2 linked regions of the Oreochromis niloticus genome follow. The protein of the gene in region 2 purifies or fractionates together with the protein of the main gene of each other region. This does not show direct contact. Links are inferred from orthologs where the notes say so. Each region holds a gene or a part of one and is shown on either strand. Other genes may lie near its edges.

Region 1 (8,080 bases), on a different chromosome or scaffold from region 2:
TAGTCACTCGCCCAGCTGGAAATGCTCAATCAAAACTGCTGTTAGGCTGATTTCTCTATGCACGTCTGTTCTCACCCTGTAACTTTATTACGGCCTAGTTCAAATAGCAATCGCAGGACAGAGTTATTTACCTGAGAGAAAAATATTGACACTGTCACAGATGATATGAACGAGCCAAGAGTTATATTCCTTCCTTATCTAAAGCAGGGCTTATCAAGCAGCAGGTAAGCTCTCTCTACTGTACAGACACCACCTCACATCTCATAGTCTGCATAGTCCAATCTAGAAGGCAAACAACAGTCTGTTTACATTAACAGTCTCTCACAAACCACAGCCCCACAATTAAAACAGTCAGCCACAGTTTGACCTCAGTAGGAGGCAAAGCTACACCTACAGTCCAGCAGCAAGCTGGCTGGCTGGCCTACAACTTAGTGCTGCTGAGGCACTAGTCATACTTACAATCTGTTGACCTTTGCTCCCTCAAAGGAGAAGGTTTACACCCACCTTTTCCACAACACATACAAAAGTCTGTAAAAGTGGCACCAGCGTTTCAGTAATGCCAAGCAAAAAAGGTTGATTATTTTTTTCTCCTCACACTAAGATTTCAGAACTTCACTCTGCCTGAAGGACAGCCCGCAAGCTTGTGGTGGGCGCTCAATGCATGGCAAAGGAACAGTCGCCTACACCAGTCTAGCACCACAGAGGGATTGTCTAGCAATTCTAGCTAGTCATCCATCTGGTCTTGGCCAGAAAGCACCATGGAGGATCCAGTCATACTTATGAACTGCAAGACAGGCTGGGATGATCTCCAGAAAGCTGTAAAGTAGTATGGCTGGAAAAGTCACAACATGCACACACTCACAGTACTTGGACAGTCAAAGAGCATGCAGATTAAACAAAAAGGTCTGTCACACATCTAATAAAACCAGAACTTAGTCCGTAGAGAAGAAGAATAGCACTTAAAAAGGCAAAGGATTCAATCTCAGTAGACTTGCTAACACTGGAGAGAAATTCAGGTGCTGTTAAAAAAAAGAGAGCTGCTGAAATGCTCTATGGGCAGAGTTAACCCTGGCTCTTCCCAGGGATGTTTTAGTGCACCGAACACAGTGTAGGTCAGGTGACTGCAGAGGAGATGACCCTCTACAGGAAGAGAAATCCTGAGTCACCTAGAGACAAACAGCAAAAGGAAAAGGCTGTCACAAACACAGCTAATGACTGGTGATTGGTGGCCTTGGGGCCACGCAGCTGTGATACGTACAAGTGAAATCAGTACTGTAATCTAATTCATCCAGTCATTTCTGATAAGAGCTCATCAGTTTGACTGATGGAAATGGTAGTTGTCATTAATAAATGTGAGATCGGGACAGGCTGGACGGAGATGAGTCGTACAAGGCGAACACGGAAAATTGGGAGGGGGAGACAGGTGACCTGAAACAACCCTGATTCCCGGAGCTTGCCGAGCTCCGCAAAGACAAGGACTGTCTACTGGAGAAGAAGGGAAACAAAAACTCTAAAAACTGACACAAACAATGGACTAATCTTGTTTTATCTAGTAAATATATACAATTACCTAATGGCACAGCACCAGTTTAAAAAGATAGGACAAGAAAAACCAACTTTACATCTTGTTCTGTCTGCAGCTGCTGCCCGTTGCTATGGCAACAGACATTAAAAGAGATGCCTGCAGAGGATATATACTGAGAAGTCCTGACAACAGCAGAAATCTTCAGACAAAGAGATAACCGCTTTGTCAAATCACATTGCAAGCAATTAGTAGCTCCATCAAAGGCTCCACATTAGAGCTCTTTTTATTTCATCCAACAGGAGAAAAACTACAGACTCCTAGAAAGATCAATATGGTTCAGGAAATGATCAAAGTTTGGCCGGCATCGCGCCAGCCATAAAACCCAATCAATGTTGACATCCGACGTCGGTCGCTCGCACCGACTCCGACTAGGGCATGTAAAACTGACACTGTGTTCAAAGAACAATAATCTCTTTTCTAATAACTGTATAAACAAGAATTTCACCAAGAATTAACATCAAAAAGACAACTGATGTTTAGAAAACTTGCATAAAAACAACCTGAATATTCTGTGCAGCAGCTAACAAAGATTAGAATGACTGTATAACATCCTGCAGAGTAGATCCTATGCTCATGAGGGATAGGGAAAGAAAATAGAAAATCACAAAGGGAGTCTGTATTTCCAAAAAAAGAAAAGAAAAAGTAATTAAACTGTTCTGTATAAAGTGAGTCTTATCGATTTCCCTAAGTGTTTTAATGAATGGCAAAAAAAACAAAACAAAAAAACAAAACAAAAACCGAAGTAGTTCCTTTTTTGGTTTATAAAGCATGCAATTGATAATCCACGGTGATTCTCCTAAAGCTAGGTTCCGTATTCACATAAGAACCACATTAATGTTTAAACGGCCACAGCCTGTCCGATCATTCGTCCTCTCCTTCCTCTTCCTAGCTTTCCCTTCGTCCACTCCCCGAAAAACGTGCTTCTCCTCTGATCCGCTCTTCCGCTCGATTAATTCACAAAGTCACTGCCGGCAGCTCCTCTCCATCTATCCTCTCCTCCGTTTGGCTGCCTCCTTGTTTCGTCCCTCCTCTCACTCTCTTTCTCTCTCTCTCTCTCTCTCTCTCTCTCTCACTCTTTCAGCAGATGGTGAAATGGCAGTGTTGCCAGGATGGATGATGGTAGATGGTAGTCCTTCATTGTGCTCCTCTTCTCCCCTCACGTCTGTCTCTCATCCCCACTTTCCTTCCACCTCAGTCTGTCTGTTAGAGGCACAAGCACACTGTCTGTCCTCCCCTCCTCCCAGTCTGGGTGGGTGATGCTGCCTCCCATTCTCTCTCTCTCTCCCTCTCTCTCTTTCATACACACACATACACACACACGACCGCGCCACAGCCTGTGCCCTCCCCACCTTCTTTTCTCCCATGCTACCTCCTTCCTGTTTCCTTCCCTTCCCCCCACCTTCTCTCTGCAGCCAGAGTCATTTAGCAGTATACATGTGTATGCACAGCAAGATGCTGCACTTCTACTCAGAAATGCACACACTCCAAGGGGAGATGGAGATGGGGATGGGGAAGGAGGAATGAAGGGAAGGGGAGAGAAGGGAAGGGATGGTGGATACATGTGTTTGTGTGTGCATGTGGAGGGTGGGCTGTTCATGTTGGGTATTCAACGCTCCTCCCTTATTCATGTTTGGTAACCTGAGAAACACAGTTAAAGAGTGAGGGGAAGAGAGAGAGAGAGGGGAAGGATGGATATAGATAGCCTCTGTGTGCTGTGACATGAGGTCACTCTATATAACCTTGGTAAGTGGACAAAGTGAGGGGAAAAAGAAAGCAGACTGCACTCGCATGATAAATATTTCCAATGTTACTACATGACTACAGCACTCTAGGGGAAAAGACTGGAAGACATAAAGCAGAAATCCCACAGATTGGTCTTGACATTCGAGCGCATCTGATGAGAAGGCAGTGTTGCGGAAAGTAGAGGAAACCACACATAGAGTGACACAGGAACCCAGCAGAGTGGATAGCAGAGAGTCCTCAAATGACACCCCAAAGAGTCCCCGCAGTACCCAATTTCACCACTACACCATCATCATGAGCTCAAGCAGTGCACTCAAGGATGTGAAGGTTCATAATGAGACAAACTGCAGACAGCTAACATTCGTCATCATACACAGTGATCTGATTGGTAGTGACGGGCATGATTGGCGAAGAAGACACCCTCCACCCGCAGCCTGCGAGACGCCCAGAACCAGTGAAACACACGATACACTGTGGCTTAGGGTTGACCTAATTGAAATTTTGTGCTCCCTTATTAGATTCAGTGAATTAACAGTTCAAGTGCCATCTTGAATTTACATTAAAAAGGTAGCAATCACGCTGAGCTGACAGCTTATTCAGTACACCCAACTAAAACTACTGCAGTTCAGCCACTTTCTTCTCCGTGGAGCCGCAGCCTCCAAAAATAACCAAAAATATCCATCTGAAAATATAGATATGGGTTTTTTTTTTATCTCAAAAATGTAAGGTTTATCTCACAGCTTCCAACTGCATTTGTTTTATTTGGGTGTAACTAATAAACTGCAGAGGAAGCAAAGTTAACATCCCATTCAAACCACAATAAATTTACATGCACAGGGCTGTACAATTACTGAAGCACGATTTCAAAACGACTTTTTTTCCAGTTCCTTCTTGCAGGTGAAAACTTGTGCAATATTAAATGAGGTGTAAAAAAAGAGGGGTGTGCGATTTTTCTGCATCACATTGTACTGCTTCTTAGAAGGCTCTCTCTCTTGAATAAGGTTTTTGTTTTATGTTGCATATGCTACTTGGAAACCCTTTTAAATGGGTCAGAGAACATTCCAGTTTGTTTCATATCAAAGCCTGAAACATGACACTTTCATAACGCTCGATTATAATTTCATGAAAATGGAAAGGAGGCATCTTAATTGGTGAAATATTGCACACCAGCTACAATCACTCATGTGTCCACAGTATCTTTGGGAGCAATTTTATCTTATTCTTGGTGTAATTGTGCAGCCCTGAAATTACGGTGCTTTAACAAATAACGCTTACTTTACACATATGCCCACCAGGGCTGGATGCGAGAGTCTGTTCATTTCTATATTATATCAGAAATTTAGAAGCAGCAACTCCTTTGCCACCGTGGCACGATGTGTTTTTTTAATCAGCTGCTCGTATGATTTTAATGTCTTACCATATATTCCATCAGCCAGCACAGGCAGCGTGAGAGTCTGTAGCCCTAAAAACACCAAGGTGCACATCAGCACACAGTACACAGCATACACAGTCGCAGACAAGCACACACACACACAAATCAAAGAGCAAATTACAGCGTGCTCAAACCAGCGCCCTTGCAGCCACTTGACTTCCAGCATGCTTTGCTCCCAGCATCAGCTGTGGAGAGAGTCATGGGACCTTCTTCATATCGAGCACATAGACACACAACATTGACACAGGGCAGAGGCCGGGCGATACTCAGAGGGATAAAGTAACAGAAAGCGAAGGAAGGAGAGAGGAAGAGTGAAAGGAGAAAGGCAGAAATCCGCTGTGCATGTTGAAACATACCCTGTGGAATGAAAAGAATCAACTCAAAGGACTGCATGTGTAGGTTGTTTGTGTTTCAGCTTGCCCAGTGCGAGTTAGCAAGTGTGAGTTTTGGTGTTCTGCGCCTGCAGAAGTCTGTGGAAACTGCAGCTAGTCAGTATTTATTAGATGAAACAATCGGAGACAGACTAAGAAAGAGCTCTGGATCTAATGCACACGCTGCAGGGCCACATCTGCAGTCTGCTCTTACACTGTATATCTGTGTGTGTGTGTGTGTGTGTGTGTGTGTGTGTGTGTGTGTGTGTGTGTGTGTGTGTGTGTGCATGTGTGTGTGTAATGTGATTTGACCCACCTCACTTATCCTTATTTGAACTAGTCAAAAAAAAATTAGCAAAGATGAGTAAACGGGGCCTCGATGCTGACATTTTCCTCTTGGATTCTTGCCAGAGATGCTGACTAACATCAATTCCTATTATCAAGGCAAGACAGACAGTAAAGAGTCGAGTAAAGAATGAACAATAGAAGGGAGAGAGGGAGGAAGCGTAACTCACACGGGAAAGTCTCAAACGTAAACACAAATAAGCAGGCACACTGGAAAAAGGCAATCAAATTTTCAAAAATTAGGCTGAGGGTGAACATTAGATTAGCCGGGGCTTCAGCAGGAGTACTTTCTCTCGGCTTCATAGCTCACTACGCACACAGCAAACATGTGAGCTGGCTATTTTGGGTTGTGCTTCCACCACCACCACCACCCCTCCTCTAACCACACTCCCACATCTCTATCTCCTTCCATCATTCCTTTCCTGCTACCACTTTCTGCTTTGCTCCACTTACAACTTCCACTTACAACTTCCTTCTCAGTTTAACGGCTTACTTGTCAGAAACTGCGGTGTTTCTTCACTGAAGTTCCAGCTCAACCTTTGAACATTGTCTGGCGTAACTTTTAGTCCTCTGTAGCAGCGAGTATCGAAATTCTTCAAGGGTTCAAGTTTGCATGAAATACTAGGGTCGGGTTTTTTCTTTTACACAAACATATGTTTCCGGATTTAAGTCATAGCTTTGCAAACTTTGTGCAGTTTGCTTTTGCTCAATTAACAAAAGTTCCGATCACACAGCAAACAGGGGCGAACAGCTGAAAGCAAAGTGCAAACACAATTTGATTCAAACTTTTTTCTACTGGACAACCACACCACTTCACCCATTAAGACTGTGTCATCTAATTTAAGTACATGTTGCTGAGTCGCTGCTTTTACTGTTATTTTAGCAAGTTTCCAAGTCGATTTATTTTACTGCTGTTTCTTTAAACATTGCTTTATGTCCAAGTGTATCTGAATAATGTTAACCAGTGGCTTCAAGAGTGCATGCTGAGGAGTTGCACTGAAATCAAGACACAGAATAATCAACGTTACAAAACAATAACAGCTAGGAGATGTTAGCTTGACCCTAAAGTGACCCTAAAGAGTTACTTCAATACTACTGTTTTATAAGCTGAAGTAAGATGTGGGATCATTCCATCTAAAAACATCACATTTTCTGCTCAGCTACCTGTGATTTGCCTGAAAATGTTACAGTTTAATTCGGACATAAATGTGTGATTATTGGGAAATTTTAACTTTGCAAAAGACAACTGGTGGACATTTCTTAATGGTATATAGCTGTATTTCACAATAAGATGAAATAAAGCATGCAGAATCCCCTTTAAAATGCAATTATTACTCACCGAAATGAAGAAAACTCTATTTTTATTCAGATTTTGTTATGATTGATCAAATATGATAATTATGATAAGCTGTACCCAGCAGAGAGTCTTCCCCAAATAGTACAAAATTCTGGAGTTTCTTGGAGTACAAGAGCTTTACTTAAAACTGAGAAAATAACTGTGTTAAATATATACATATTTTGCCTGCTTTGTGGGCATGCACATTCAGGCTTATTATTATTATCTTTAAAATATGCTGAAGACCTCCGTTGAAGCGAGCCTGAAGGAATCCTGATCTGCAAGAAGAGATACCGTTTGAAAATGCAATCTCAGCTTTCTGAGTAAAAAGAGAGAGAAACCACAATAAAGACACAAACAGACTTTCAACTTAGATACGTGGCACCACAGAGTCACTCCGCTGTAACGCGCTGCATATAAAAATGCAACAATTAGAGCCTCTCATACAGAATTCAGGAAAACCATCAGCAGCCATCACGCTGCTAATGAAATTCCGCCGAAGCTGCACTAACTTCTGTTTTTTTAGCATCGCACGGGACGAGATTTTAATCAAACTGTGGCTCACGCAGTGCGCTGCACACTGAGCACGCCGCGCTAGACTGAGCACCGCAGGAGGAAACGCAGCTGAGACTCGGCTCTATTGTATGAAGGCAGTGACGGACAACCACATGCTATGGCCTCAAAAACAAACTCCTACAGTTGGTTTCCAGAATGCGCTCATACACACCAGGAAATAGAAAAAAAACCAACGCACATAAACAACCCCCCTCCCCACATGGTCGGAGAGACAGACAGATACAGTACATACGCCAGACAGAAGGAACCCGAGAAAAACACCTCCTCACAGGTCAAGACACCCACACAAAAAGCGTATGTAGTGTCAACAGTCTCGAAGTGTTTATAAGAGCTTAGCACCTCAGCACTGTGTTTTGTCAATAGCGATGCACCACAGGCCAAATCCAAGTCTAATATCTGCGGTAATATTTGCACTGCTAACAAAAATCTAATTCTTTATTTTTGAATTGGCTTTGCGTCTGAGACACACGGACTCCGTGCACAGCTGTCAAACTGAAACCGCTGTAACAATCAAGTGTCACACACTCCCGTCAATCAGGGCGAAAGCTTTTACCGGTGACTGAGAGGTTTGAAGGGAATTGGACAGATCCAATTTTAATCGAGTGGATTTTGGTTTACGCTGGAGTGTGATGGAGTGGCCGAGGCGCACGACTTTGGCTGACAGTTTGTGTCCTCCTGTCTGTGTTGTGTTT
Region 2 (7,326 bases):
CGGAGGTGTTCATGTAGGCATGAAGCTAATAAATTTTGAGTCATAGTTACTTTTACTGAAACACAGGAAGAAGAGATGACTTCATGAACAACTCTGAAACTACACACTTATTTTCAGAGCTATGACAATAGAAAAAGCTGAATGTTTACACTGGAAGAACGCTAGTTACTGCATTAGCAAAATTAGTAAACTATACATTTTACAAGGAGCTGGTGGTGGACTTCAGAAGGAGTCAGCACAGAGACTACAAGCCCATTTTCATCAATGGAGCTCCAGTGGAGAGGGTGCAGTCCTTCAAATATCTTGGTGTCCACATCTCCTCAGACCTGACATGGGCTGCCCACATTCAGGTCCAGACCAAGAAGGCTAGGCAGCGCCTGTATCACCTCCGACAACTAAGGAAGTTCAGGGTCTCTCCAAAGATCCTCAGGATCTTCTATACAGGCGCTGTGGAGAGTATCCTCACACAGAACATGACAGCGTGGTTCGGGAACAGCTGTGTGAAGGACCAAAAAGCTCTCCAGAGAGTGATCCGTACAGCAGAACGCTGCTGCAGGATTGCTCTCCCCCCACTTCAGGACACCTACACCAGGAGATGCCAGACTAGAGCAACGCAGATACTGAAGGACCCGTCCCACCCTGGCAACAAACTGTTCCAACTTCTACAATCTGGTAGAAGGTTCCGCATCATCCGGGCAAGGACAGAGAGACTCAAGAAGAGCTTCTATCCTCAAGCCATCCAGACCCTAAACCAACACACACACATCCTAATAACTTGTGTTTATGTACAGTTGTTGGAACTGATGATCTTGGAAACTGCAGATTTTTAGAAATGACTCCAAGATACCTTCCAAACTTGTGTAAATGTACACTTCTCCATCTTAAATCCAAAGTTCCTTGGGCTTTCCCATTGGTCCGAGTTTTGGTCAGTCCAATGAGTGTTGTCAAATAAATCTCTTTTATGCTAGCCTAGCGAAACTACCAGTTGTAGTCAATCATGATTACAAGTTAATAGGCCTTGGACATGTAAAGTTAAAAGACATTGTAGAACCTTCGGAACCTCTTATTAAAAGATTTAACTCAACGTATATATTTGAGCATGCATGTTTTTACTTTTGACTGTGTGGATCAAAGAAAAGACTAAATAAATTGAAAAATTGTGCACCTTATCTTTGTTTTGTTTTAATCATTAAAAATGAATGCTGTGTAATCATTAATAGCCAAAACTTAGCATGACATTCATCTCCAGGATGAAACTCCTGGCCACATCTGTATATGTCTAATCCTTACCTTACCTTAATTGTAATATTAAGCCTAAAACCAGGTCTTTTTTCAAGCCTGCCAGTGAACAGCTGCCAAAGAATACCAGCACCAAAAATTCCTAACTTTTAAAAAATGTTATCAAATGGCCATGTTTTTACTTAAATCCTATTCATTTATTGACTTGGTCTTCCTGTAAAATACAGTTACTCCTGTCAGATGTTCATGTTGTTTATATGAGGAGTTCTTGAGAACCCACACTGCACAGGCACCTTTTGAACAGAGACAATGACACGCATACATTTGCTGCATGTGATGAGGGCATGAATAAGTTCTAGGGTAGTTTTGCTGTTTGGCAAATCTTTCGGTGTGAAGTAAAAAGTTTGTTAAACCAGTTTCCCCAACACTAGCTTCTGTAAGGTGTATGCATAGTCTTACATACCTGCATGTTAGTTCAAGGCTGTCAGATTTGTTCATCCTATGGATGCCATAGATATTTAGTGTCGGTGGATCAGATATAAACCGCAGTTCCGCTGCTGGAGAGATTAACAGTACAAATCAGTCACAGCAACGACTAACTTTTAACACAGTCGGGGTGATGACATCAGTCTCTACAAACAATGATTAAATGAAGGTTTCAGAGATCATGGCCCTACTGTTTTAAACAAATGCACATAAGATTAAGATTAAATCAAAAGGCACAAGGTAAAAACTGAAAGTAGAGCACAGGAAAAAACAGTCTCCATTATAAGATGTGCTTTGTATCTGAGTCTCTGGCTACATAGGGCCCTTTTTCCATTGCTGCAGCAAATGGCGGAGCTGTGTGAAAACAGGAAGCAGGAGAAGATGGGCCGGGTCAGGCTCAATAGTCTAGCACAGTGTGCCTTAGGTGGGGTTCCTGTTTCTGAGGATACAGCCTGCCCACCACCTCCCTGTGAGGCCCTAAAGGACATAATGCATTGTATGGAAAAAAACAAAAAAAACAAAAAAGAAAAAACTAAGTGTTGAGCTGAGCTGATGAAGTGGGCCTTAATGATCTCAGAAGAAAAAAAAGTTTAAACTGTTGAACAACGTAGCACATCAGCAGAAACTAGTTACTTTTTACGTTTACATTTTACAACATAAAAACAAGTCATCAGGCCACAGTTCAAATGTTTTTGCTTAAATGTTTGAAGGTTTATCCTCTAATCCTCAAACTGGACTGCAGTTCTAAAGTGACAGAAAACATTCAGCAAAGACTAAAACTATAGAACAACTGAGGACAAAGTGTTTGAAATGTCTTAGAAAAGCGGCAAAAGCTTTTATAGAACTGCAGGGTGACTTTGAGTTGACAGATTTAAAAAAGAAAAAGAAAAAAAAAGATCAAACTTAGATCATAATCTAATATAATTCATGTTTTTCAGCTTAATTCGCTATTAAGGTAGACGATTAAATGGGGATAATATTATTATCTTACCAGCAAAACAAGTGATTTCCAGAATAATGCCCAGTAGTGGAATGACGGACAGTGTCTGCGCCATCATCCGACAAAAGACAAGGACAAAGTCCTCATCAAAGTCCAATTAATAACGTAACTGTAGAAATAATGATAATCCTACTGCCTCATTACCAATCCATTAAAAAAAGCTGTTTTATATTCCACCCCAGAGAAAGTTTGAAAGTCATGAAAACAGCCTGCAGTGGATGGTGATCAGCAGTGGCTAAAGTGTGACTGTGCGTGTCCCCATGGAGCTGTTGCGGCTGAGGATGGAGAGACGCGCCTCGGCTGAGCAGCCTGCCTGCAGGGGAGGAGTCTCTCTCTCTGACTCTCTGTAAAATTACCAAGGCGAATGCTGCCTGCAATAAACTTCTGGGCTTGTTGCCCAGTTGATGGGAGGACTTACTGAACTTTGAGAGAAACTTGGGAGACTTAAGAACTAGTGACAGCCAGGATGCATAACCCCCTGCTGAGGAGTCGTAAAAATGTTTACACCATAACTTTGACTCCTAGAGTAGTAATAATCATAAAATTTATAAATTTATTAAAAGGAAAATCCCATTACCAAAAGCATTAAGAAAACGTGTGTTCATAAGTTAGGGTTAAGGACCTGTTTTCACTCCTGCATAAAAGTAGAAAGAAGCCCAAGAGTTGCTTATTCTCGCCTCCATGTGACCTAAAGCAACATTAGCATGATAGGTCAGAGAACCAAAGCCATGAGGCCTAATAATAACTAAATTCTTGTTTCCTTGTAGATTCACTATTGCTACAACCCCCTTTATACAAACAGGTTACTATGGTTGAATGAGAATAATTTTATATTTTTTTACGCTTCTTCTAGAACACAGTTAAAACGCGCACACTTCGGGTGAGGCGTACATCTCCCTGCGAACAGACCCTACGCACTTCCATACAATCACACTGCTCCACACTTTTATCCTGCCGGAGTTGCTTTGGGTGATTCTCTGGCTACTTATGCTTAACAGCCACTTTGTTAGGAAAACCCTTTAAACTGTTCCCTAACGCAAATCTTCAATCAGCCAAACACGTGGCAGAAACTTACTGCATGTAGTTTTGGTGCATAACCGGAAAGTCGATTCTTTTCATCTGGGCGCAGTGTTTTCGGTGGGAGGACTGTAAATACAAGAAACAGTGGAAAGTACAATAGGTTTAATTCATGCGCTGAAATCGCTATATTAAAGACGCAGTTGAAAACGTATTCTTCGGCGATTAGAAAAATGTTTAAACATGTCCTTTGTGTGTGCTGCAGCTTGTGAACTTAAAAGAAAGACAATGGATATCGTGGATGTTGGTTAAATATGATTTTAATGTCATTTCTATACGAAGTCCCCCTCTTTACAAATACAGTATGGTGTTGTCTAACTGTGTAACAAAAGACTGCATTGATTATCATGAATTTGAAGATGCATTAAAAAAAATTCTCGATATTTTATAATCAAATAAAACAATATTAAGATATTCATAGAACAATTAATTAACCGTTTAATTAATTCATGTAATTCTGGAATTAATGTCACCTTAATAACCTGTGAATTTAAAGTATCTCATGATTCCTGAATACAGACATTAAGTAATGTAACAACTGTGTTACAATTTGGGCATTTTAGTCATCATGATTATTCACAAAAAAAGAAAAAAGCTATTTAGGCTTTTTCATGTAAGTTTGCAGTTCCTGGGACAGGCTGAAAATGGAGCAGTAATGGTGAAATGCAGTATGACTGACTAAACCTAACTAATGACTAATGTCCCTCCAATGCTGATCTGGTAGCTTTTTAATACTTGGAAATAAATTACAGCTGTAAAATAATCAAAGTATTAAGCTTTACTAGAGACACAGACTGGGCCTTTTTACAGGGTCAAATATATCTGTGGATCAGGTTCCATTGCCTGCCCAAAGATATCTGTTAAGGTTTGGAAAAAGAAACAGATAATCTGGGACAGTGCCAAAAACATGTCAGGAAAGCAGGGCGCAGCTTATACCAAACCCAAATGACATTTACATTAGGACTGCTGCCTTGAAAAGAGGAAAGGGATAAAGGTAATACCTGGAACTGATTAACATCAGATTGTGTCCCATTTTTGTATTTTTCCAGAACTTCAAACGTGTGATGAATGTAGTGCTTCATCTGATGAGGAGGGAGGAGGCTGTGTTTTGATGCTGGCGTGGATTCAGGAGGGTTGAGGGAGATGATTGAGGGCTGTGTGTTATGCGCTGCATCCACATGTTTCCTGGCCTGGTCACTTCTACTGGGACTCTCTGAATACTAAACTGCCTAGCTGCCTTGTAACCATCATTTCCTGGAGGACAGTCTACACTGAATTCCCTTCTGGAAAAGCTGGAATCAGAAACATTTTTCCATTTTTCTATCTCTGTTTATTTTCTAAATCCAAAGAGAGGTGATTGCTTTGAACTCTGGCCCACTCACAGACAAAGAGAAATGTTTTCATAGTTTAAAGCATTTGAGCAAAGGAGAGGAAAGAATGAGCAGTGTGTGGTTGTGTGGAAGAAAATATTTTACTGTATTTTGCAATTTTCCTGTAAAATTACAATAACATAATAATAATACTTGTTATTATTATTATTATTAGTAGTAGTAGTAGTAGTAGCGACTGCTAATTTGTCCTCCATTAAACTGTTGAACTAAAATCTACAAAAGAGATACATGGATAAAATGTGAGCTTAATGGTATAAGACTGTCAGCTGTTGTCAGCTGTGACTTAATTAGGTACAGCTGTCCAACCATTCGTTCAAGTAAATATCTAATCAATCACATGGAAGCAGCCCATTGTACTCAGACATTTAAACATGTTACAACCTACTGAAGTTCAAACTGAGCATCAGATGTGGCAGAAAGCTGATTTAAGTGATTTTGGTTGTTTGTGAATAAGAGAGGCTGGTCTGTGTATTTCAGAAACTGATGATCTGCTCAGCTTTTCCCAGCAGATCATCAGTTTCTGAAATACACAGGCCAGCTTCCCCAGGACTTACATAGAATGCCCCCCGATATCCACTGAGCAGCAGTTCACTGGAAAAAATGTCTTGCTGATGACAAAGGTCAGGGGAGAATGGTCAGACTGGTTTGAGCAACACAGCAGCTGTTCAAAGCACTCAATGCAAGTATGTAGAAGAGCATCTCCTTATATGAACTTTGAATATGTTGAACTTTGAATCAGATGGACCACAGCAGCAGAAGACCACAATGTGTGGCAGTCCTGTCAGCTAGGACAGGAAATGGGAAACTGAAGGGCTAACAAGGCCTCAAAATCGGACAACAAAAGATGTGAAAAATGTTGCCTGGTTGATTTCTGCTGCCATATTTTGACAGTAGGATCAGAATTTGATCTAAATGCATTTATGGTTCAGGCTGGTTGGAGTGACGTAATGGCATGGCGGATATTTTCATGAAACATTCTGGGCTCCTTAGCACTTACTGAACATCATTTAAACACCATAGCCTTCCTGAGAATTGTTGCTGAACATGTCTGTTACGACCCGGTTTTGCTAGGGGACAGGGAAGGTGGCATAAACGAGACCCTCACGAGGGAGATCAGTTAAGACAAAGTTTTATTTACAGAAAAAAACTCAGAACTGAAAACCGATAGCGACATTTACTACAAACCACAAGGCAAATAACCAATACAAAAATAACTTGCTCATGTACAAGTAGAAATTAAAGCTAGCCTCATGGGCTGTAACATGACTAAACGCTATTCAAACAAATTCCACACCTTAAACAGGGTTTCACAAGCTAGGCTCACAGACTGTGGGGCAAACTGCACATTCAGTTCAAAGCAGCAGCCCCTGAATGAAAGTTCTTCAGCCCTTTTGAAGGCACAGGTGTGCACAATTGGTTGCAGATTGATCTCTCTCCCTGGAGGTGCAAACCACAGGTCTTCAGGCAGCCAATTGTCTGTGTGGATTGTCACATTCGAATTGACATGCAGGAAGGCTAGCACGGGTTCCCAGACAGCCAATCGTCTGTCGGTGTTGTCACGGTTGAATTGGGGGGATTGAATTTGTCACGGTTGAATTTGCTTGAAGGAAGGCTAGCTCACTTCTTCCAAGGCCAGGAGCCATAACAATGTCCATTCCCTTATGATCACAGTGAACTGTCTTAAGATAAGATAAGATAACCTTTATTAGTCCCACACGTGGGAAATTTGTTGATGGCTTCTGATGGCTGGTTCCAGCACAATGTCACAAAAGTCAAATCAAATCAAACTGGTTTCTTAAACATGACAGTGACAGTGTACTGAAACTGCCTCCACAGTCACCAGATCTAACTCCAGTAGCTCTTTGATATGTGTTGAACCAGGAGATTGGCAACATAAATGGGCAGCTGACAAATCTGCAACAACTGTGTGATGCTATCATGTCAGTATGGACCCAGATCTCTAGCACTAGTTGAATCTATGTCAAAAATAGCTAAGGGAGTGCTGAAGGTAAAAGGAGGACCACCTAGTAAGGTGTAACTAATGAATCTATACTTTGAACCTGTACCCTGTGTTCAGGTTTTTGTCTTTCCTGGACGAAAAATTACAATACCCCATATCACAGGTGCATGGCT

What was found. Proteins that work in one complex are often made in the same cells at the same time.
Region 1: the proteins of kdr (region 2) and shc1 purify together in Homo sapiens (affinity purification with western blotting; 3 studies listed by BioGRID and IntAct, with this or other methods). This does not show direct contact. The link is inferred for Oreochromis niloticus from reciprocal best matches to the Homo sapiens genes KDR and SHC1.

The regions. Positions count from the first base shown.
Region 1 is NC_031976.2:20,859,166-20,867,245, forward strand, and holds the start of shc1 (SHC-transforming protein 1), read right to left. Parts: upstream 3,074-8,080; 5' UTR 1-3,073. UniProt on the Homo sapiens protein: Signaling adapter that couples activated growth factor receptors to signaling pathways. Participates in a signaling cascade initiated by activated KIT and KITLG/SCF.
Region 2 is NC_031986.2:37,676,592-37,683,917, forward strand, and holds the start of kdr (vascular endothelial growth factor receptor 2), read right to left. Parts: upstream 3,029-7,326; 5' UTR 2,784-3,028; coding exon 2,717-2,783; intron 1,797-2,716; coding exon 1,703-1,796; intron 1-1,702. UniProt on the Homo sapiens protein: Tyrosine-protein kinase that acts as a cell-surface receptor for VEGFA, VEGFC and VEGFD. Plays an essential role in the regulation of angiogenesis, vascular development, vascular permeability, and embryonic hematopoiesis.